Oryctolagus cuniculus: one gene and its partner. The protein of the gene in region 1 purifies or fractionates together with the protein of each later gene. This does not show direct contact. Links are inferred from orthologs where the notes say so. Each region holds a gene or a part of one and is shown on either strand. Other genes may lie near its edges. The genes, in order: ADRA1D and CTNNAL1.

Region 1 (3,814 bases):
GGGATTTATTGTGGGAGGGCTCTCGGAAGGCCCCCAAGAGGGAGGGATGTAGCCTCAGATGCAGTCTGGCCTCAGGCTGGCCCCATGGGGTCCCTGGAGCAAGGAAGCCAGCACAGAATGAGGCTGTGAGACCTGTCCTGTCCACCCATCAGCTTGTCATTGGCTGCAGGCTGCCCCCTGAGGGGCAGGGGTCTCCCCAGGTTAAAGCGGCCCCCATTGGCCCAGGGCAGGCTCTCCAGTGAAGGGGGCAGTGGTGAGCCTTTGGCAGCCAACTGCCCCAGCAGCTGGGGCTGAGGCACCCAGGTGGGACCCCAAGAGCACCAGCATTAAGTCTGCAGGGGGACTTTAGAGCAGAGGCTCGAGGGTGGCGAAGGAGATGGCTCAGCAGCTATCCGGGCTCCTCCCAGGAGCTGGGGCAGTTTAATGCTCTCTCCAGGGAGCAGGCCATCAACCTGGCCTTCTGAGTGCTGCCGGGTACCCTTGAGGCCACAGGGAAGGCAATGAATGCCATACAGCAGAGCACAGGGCGCCCAAGGCCCACACTCACCAAAAACCACTACCACCACCTGCCCAGACCGTGGGAGTGGGCTTAATCAGACAAAGCTCCTTGCAGCAGGGGAGGCCAGGCCAAACATGAAGGGGAGGAGTCCCCTGTGGGGAGAGCAGGAGGGCTGCCCTCCCCACTGGAGAGCCACGTGACAGCAGACGGGCGTGGGCCTGCCACTCCTGGGGCTGCCACTGGGAGGAAGAAAGCCAGTGGCTGTGGCTCCGGACCCCAGGGCCCCCAGAAGGCGAGGGAAAGTTCAGGTTCTGTCTGTAGTGATGTGCTGGGAAGGGCAAGAGCTTGAGGGCCATACCGACTCAGACGCGTGTCCTGACGTTGCCACATGGCCACGCTGCCCGGGATGTCCTGGGGCTTCCGTGAGAAGTCCGTCAAGGGCCTGGCATGGGACTAGGTGGTGCCGAGCTCTCAGGAATTCCTCAGCTCCGGCTGGAGAAGTTCAGAGAGCTGCTGCAGAAAGTGGGGAACAGGCAAGGGAGGGGAGCTGAGACGGCGGGAAACAGTGCAAGGAGCCCCGTGTGCTCGGGGCTGGCTCAGTGGCTCCGGGTTAGCACCTGGCTGGATGAGGCCAGCGTGAGTCTGGAACACGTGGGCAGGGCAGGCCCGAGGAGAAGGTGGCTGTAGTGCTAGTGCGTGGCCCCCCAGCTGCTGTGCGGAGATGAGGCTGTGGGGACACAAGGACAGGGGCAGGGGACCGCGTAGGACACTGCCTGGGAGACGAGGGTGGTGGTGCGGAGTTGGGGGGACTTAGGGCTCTGCAGGAGTTGGTGGTGGATGAGATGCAGGCTGTGATAGAAGGAAGAATCCTGGAATGTGCCAGGCACCTCCCGTGTGCCACACGCGGTGTGGGCAGCTTGGGCAGCAAACAGTTGCCCTCAGGGTTCTTAGCAGTGCGATGTGCTGGGGGGAGGGCGAGGCAGTACAAATGACTTGGCTGGGTCAGGACAGGGAGGTGCAAGGAAGGCATCCAGGAGGAGGTGCCAGTGGGGCTGGCACTACCAGGAGGCAAAGTGAGGGCATTCTGGGGAGATCGTGTGCCAAACAGCCAGAGGCAAGAGCAGGGAGCCAGTGTGCCGCGGAGGCCCGTTGGCCCCTTGGCTACTGCACATGCAGGCAGAAGTAAGGCTGCACAGGGACCCTCGGGCCACGAGACAGAAGGGGGTGAGGCTGGGGGCTGGAGAGGTGGGCGGCCAAGGGAGCAGCACACGGGAGCCCCCCTCGCAAGCAGTGGCACAGCCGGACTTGATTTCAGCGAGAAAGGCTGTGGACGGTGTGGGGTGGGAGCAAGAGATCTCCCTAGGGAAGAGAAGGAGGCTGCTGGGCACTGGGAGAGTGTGGCCTTGGCCCCAGCACCTCCATCTGCCCACTGAGGCTTTCCCGAGGCTGGGGTAGAGGAGCTGGCAAAGATGTGCAAAGGGTGAGGAGGTGAGGCAGCTGGCCGACCCAGAAGCATAACTCAGAGTGACGGGCAGACAGGAACACTGGTCATAGCAGACAAGGGCTTTGTGCATCGACGCCCTCCAATGGTACAGCAGTGATACAGGGACTGTGCCATGAGCCCCAGTCCTACACTCATGGTGCGCAATGGGGAGGGATATGCCCGCAGCTCCCTCTGAGACCCCTGCAAGAAACCATGGGCTGATAAAGAGAGGAGCAGCAGGGAGAGGGAGGCAGGGAGGTACAGGTGTAGACTGGGCACCCAGGCAGAGGTGGGGGTGAGGCTCACCCCTGCTGCCTGCGAGAGGAACAGAGGGAGCGGGAGCGTCTGTTGGGAGCTGTTGAGTGTGGCCTGAGGAGCCCCCGGCCCAGCGTCTCTGCTCTAGGCACAGTGTGGGCAGTGAGCAAATCAAGTTGTGGCCGCTGATGCTGCCCACTCACACCCCCAGACCTCCCATGCACATGGGCCAGCTTCTACCTGAACACTTGCCTACGTCCTGGCCAGGGGCTGCCTCTGCCACCAACATCCCTGCCGTCCTCCAGGTAGGAGGCCGGCAGCCCAACGGATGACTAATGGGAACAGGTGTGAAAAACACCCGCTGATGGGAGCCCTCTGAGATCTGTGCTCGTCTCCCTGAGCTCGCCAGTGGGGTTACGCCCCAGTCATGTCGCTCTGGGGATGATGAACTTGACAACACACCTGTCCTTGGCTTCCTGCTCTTCCCTCTTCTGCCCATTCCACCCTGGGTGTCTCACTGATGCCCGCAAATTAACAGCTTGTGTTTGAACGCTTGTCACAGAGTCTGCTTCTGGGAGAGCCCAAGGAAAAGCAAACCTCGGCAGGATACAGGAGGGAAACCGTGGGCCCAGAGAACTGAGGCTAAACCCCAGCTCCTTCCTGTGCACGGAGCTCCCAGCTCACCGCAGACTCCTGCCCAAGCCTCCTGAGCACAAACAGAATATGAACGCTACAGCAAGACCCCAGCCCCGCTGCTCACCCATCCTGATCAACGCAGGCTGGTATCACTGTCCTCTGGCCAGCTTCAGGCTCACCCCTGGAAAGCACAGTCCACGGATTTGTCATCCTGGGCTAAATATAAAAGGCTCGGAGCCTGAGTCACAGGGCTATTTTCAGCACTCTGTCTTGCTTTGCACCGTTGAGGGGTGCTGTTCTGGAGGGCCACCTTCCTGGAGGCTGAAGTCCATCAACCCTGCTGGCCCCCACATCCCAGAAAGCACCTTGGGCCCTCGAACCCGTCGGCTCTCAGCCACTGTGTCTGGCCACTGTCCAGGCCCCAGCCCAGGGCCGAGGGCGCCTCTCTCTGGGAGGATGCAGAAGTGGGGAGGAGCGGGCAGAGAACAGACACAGGTATTTAGCGGGAGCCTGCTGAGTGCTGGGCTCTGGAAGGGAAAGAGGGGACGTTGATGGCCAAATAAGTGCTCAGGGCGCTGTGAGCGGGAGTGGAAACAGCTGTGCTATGGGATGTGTGTGTGCCCTTCCTCCCAGGGTCCCTCTGTGGTGGGATGGAGGGTTGCAGGAGTCCCCAGGTCCTCGGTAGGGGACCCTGCTCCTCTTTCTTTTGGAGAACGGGGAAGAGAGAGAAGATGGCATGATTTGTCAAGGCCCGCCTCACACCCCGGCCTGCTTGGTCTCACAGGCCCCTGTGGCCCCCCGCCAGGATCCAGCTTCCTGGCCGCCTGTTGCCCTCCATCCACTGCTGACCAGGATGAGAAAGATGGCCTCTGCTTCCCTGGTTGTGCCTTGGCATCTGGCCGTGAGGTCTCTGGTGGGGATGTCAGGGAGAGGTTTGTGAG
Region 2 (3,491 bases), on another chromosome or scaffold:
CCACACGGGTGCAGGGGTCCAAGGACTTGGGCCATCTTCTACTGCTTTCCCAGGCGATAGCAGAGAGCTGGATCAGAAGAGGAGCAGCCAGGACTAGGACCGGCGCCCATATGATGCCGGCGCTTCAGACCAGGGTGTTAACCCGCTGTGCCACAGTGCCGGCCCCCTGTTCTTTTTCTTTACAAATCACTCCCAGAATTACCCTGTTCTCCACATTATTATTGCCAACCACCTAAATCTAAGTCTTTATCTCTTTATTCTCCTGGTGTCTCTCACTCTAAAATATTCTACATATCATTTTTTTAAAAACATTTGTTTTATTTTTTTGAAAAGCAGAGTTACAAAGAGGGAGGCAGGAACTCCATCTGGGTCTCCCAAGTGGGTTCAGGGGTCCAAGCAATTGGACCTTGTTCCGCTGCTTTCCCAGGCACATTAGTAGGGAGCTACATTGGAAGTAGAGCAGCTAGGACTCAACTCAGCACTCATATGGCATGCTGGTATTGGAAGTGGTGACTTAACCCACTGCACCACAATGCCTACCCCTCTACATACCATTTTAACATAATATTCTAAAGATCCCTATCTTACCTGCACAAGTTCTTCTCCATCATCCTCTTCTCAGGATGCATAGTGAATTGTCACCACCTTTTTATAGTTGGTGATTTTTATGATGAGTATGTGTAGGTTTCATTAGTAAGTATATTTCTTATCAACTACTTGTGGGTATCATTTAAAACAGTAATGTTTTCCCTTCCCACCAGGTTTTTGCTGCGGAGGGTTTAAAGTTTACTTCAAGTATCCAAGGTTTTTCAAAACAGGTAACTCTTGTCTCTCTGCCTGGTGCTGGTTATAGTATCCTAGATACCCACTGGCATAGTATTAAGGTATCAAGATATTTAAGGTATTTCGTTGGGGGTGTTATAACTTCCTAAATTACATTTCAGCTGAAAGATGATGACAAACTTACGCTTCTCCTGGAAATAAACAAGCTAATCCCTCTATGCCACCAGCTCCAGACAATAACCAAGACATCTCTGCAGAATAAAGTACTTCTCAAGGTAAAGCAGAGGGAGGGAGTTACTCAGGTAGACTTTGAGAAACTTGCATACTTCTGTCTTTATCATATTTGCTCCAGGCTGTTTTTTCTTCAAAGAAAGTGTTAATACCTGCAGAGGCACAATTTATTTACATATTTCCCAATTTGATGGCAAGAATCTTTTATTATCTGCTTTTGTAACTGACCCCAGAGAGCAACACATTCACTGAATGAATTGGCTTTTTGGACAGGATTAATTCCATAGCACTGGCAGCTACTGCTAAATCCTGTCATCATCACCTGTCTGACCTGGGCATGAGTGCCTCCAAGGCTGGGCTCCCAGAATTTGTCTAAGGATATGTGGGTTTTTGCCCACAGAGCAGAGTGCAAGGAATGCCAAAGCAGGGAATTTGCTGTCACTATTTGGAGCATTTTGAGTAGCTCCTGAGTAGTCTGAAGGAGCACAGTTGCTTTTCCACCCATTCTTCCTGGGTGGAAACAGGAGTAAGACCTGGGTGACAACGCTGCACTTGTGTTCTGGGGCCTTGAGTCAGCTCCTGTGATCTCTGTACCTTCCAGACCCTTTGTAGTTCCACAATGGAGAAATGCCATTTTCACATCAACTATATGATAAAGTTTTGTGAATTCCCACTTGTAGAATACGATTTGCACGCTTTCTGTCACTATAGGTTGACAAATGTATTACAAAGACAAGATCCATGATGGCGCTCTTGGTTCAACTTCTTTCACTTTGCTATAAACTGCTGAAGAAGGTAAGGCAGTTTTTCTATCTTCAACTCATATTTGAAAAGTTAAAGGAAATTGCAAAAAAAAATTAGTAATTACTACTAATTTTGCAGCTTTTTTTTTTTCAGAATAAAGCAGAAATTAATTGTCTTAACTCTTTCTAACTTCAGACAGAAAATGTCAGATGGGTCTCGGTTACAAATAAAGACACCGTGGATGGTAAAACCTGAGAAGATTTTGGAGTCCAGTTTTTGCAACATCTCTGGCAAAGCCGACATTTTTAAAAAGCAAATTATACTTTAAGAAATTCAACACATTTATAAAGAAAACAATACTGAAATCCTGCTTTATTTTCTGATCATGAAACTGGTTGTGAAGCTTTTGACGACTAATAATTGCCCTAATAGCAGTAAGAATTTTAATTGCAGTGTGATTTTAAAATGTAACATTGCATTAAAACTGTAAAAGTCAAACCAAATATCCCAGATGTCTTAATGACAACTCCATCCAAAGAAGCTATTTTGAATATGCACTCGCCTTTGGCATACTTTACTTTAACTGTTTTCTTATTTAAGCCTATCATCTAGAACACTAATTTCAGCAGAAAATATACAGCAGTTTGGGTGAACACAGGGTTTTGCTATAACAAATGGACTCTTCTTCAGTCCCTGTGTCCACCAAGTGTGACAAAATCCCCTCTGATGCTCCCTCTATCGCAGATCATGCTACTGGCCAGAGTTTGTTCTCTAAGAAATGTTTCACAGAGCAAGGGCTAACTGCTGCACTGCATGTACTTCTGAGCTCCTGAAAGCTGAGTACAGGAACCCACTCCACGGAATCCTGGAGGGAGCAATTCCTGGGGAATAGCAGATAGCCGTCTTCTGGTCCTAGGTCTAGCATAGCTAGCCAGTCTGCCCTGAATACTAGCTGTAATACTAAGCCTATTTTCCTGGCTTAAAAAATAGTTTTGATCTATTCTTCTCAGTATTGATATAATGGAAAAGAAGACAGAAGGATGGAACCAAGAAGCTGTTTAGATTTTGAGTAATTATACATTTTATAATGTGGCCCTGGAATGTGCATTACAAAATAAACAAACATCTTTATTTAGTCATTTTAATTCGTGTTGAAAACTTGTTTTTGTGCTGTGAGTTTTGATGGAAAGATCTGGCTGATAGGTTTTCTCTGCATGTTATACTATGATTGACTTTGTTTTGAGCTCATTTCATAGTGTTTGCATCCCTTGCTTTGAAATTCATTTTGATATCTGATGGGTCATGTCCTTGCCACGTGGCAGTAGATAGATGAGTCTGATGATTTTTCTGTGTCAGCCACCACAATCAAGATTCACGGATTTTGAAGAACCACAAGACTAATGATATTTTACTGAAGAAAACTTTGTTTTTTAAAGATGTATTTACTTGAAAGTCAGTTACACAGAGAGAAGAAGAGGCAGAGAGAGAGAGAGGTCTTCCATTCGCTTCTTCCGAGTCCCCCATGTGGGTGCAGGGGCCCAAGGATCTGGGCCATCTACTGCTTTCCCAGGCCATAGCAGAGAGCTGGATCGGAAGTGAAGCAGCTGGGACTTGAACCAGTGCCCATATAGGATGCTGACACTGCAGGTGTCGGCTTTACCCGCTATGCCACAGCCCTGTACCCTGAAGAAAACTTAAAAAAAAGATTTATTTGGGGACAGGTGCTGTGGCGA

The links.
Region 2: the proteins of ADRA1D (region 1) and CTNNAL1 purify together in Homo sapiens (tandem affinity purification; 3 studies listed by IntAct, with this or other methods). This does not show direct contact. The link is inferred for Oryctolagus cuniculus from reciprocal best matches to the Homo sapiens genes ADRA1D and CTNNAL1.

What each region holds. Positions count from the first base shown.
Region 1 is NC_091442.1:29,485,371-29,489,184, reverse strand, and holds part of ADRA1D (alpha-1D adrenergic receptor), read left to right. Parts: intron 1-2,799; coding exon 2,800-3,425; 3' UTR 3,426-3,814. UniProt on the Homo sapiens protein: This alpha-adrenergic receptor mediates its effect through the influx of extracellular calcium.
Region 2 is NC_091432.1:212,649,266-212,652,756, reverse strand, and holds the end of CTNNAL1 (alpha-catulin), read left to right. Parts: intron 1-761; coding exon 762-818; intron 819-944; coding exon 945-1,058; intron 1,059-1,725; coding exon 1,726-1,809; intron 1,810-1,953; coding exon 1,954-2,013; 3' UTR 2,014-2,903; downstream 2,904-3,491. UniProt on the Homo sapiens protein: May modulate the Rho pathway signaling by providing a scaffold for the Lbc Rho guanine nucleotide exchange factor (ARHGEF1).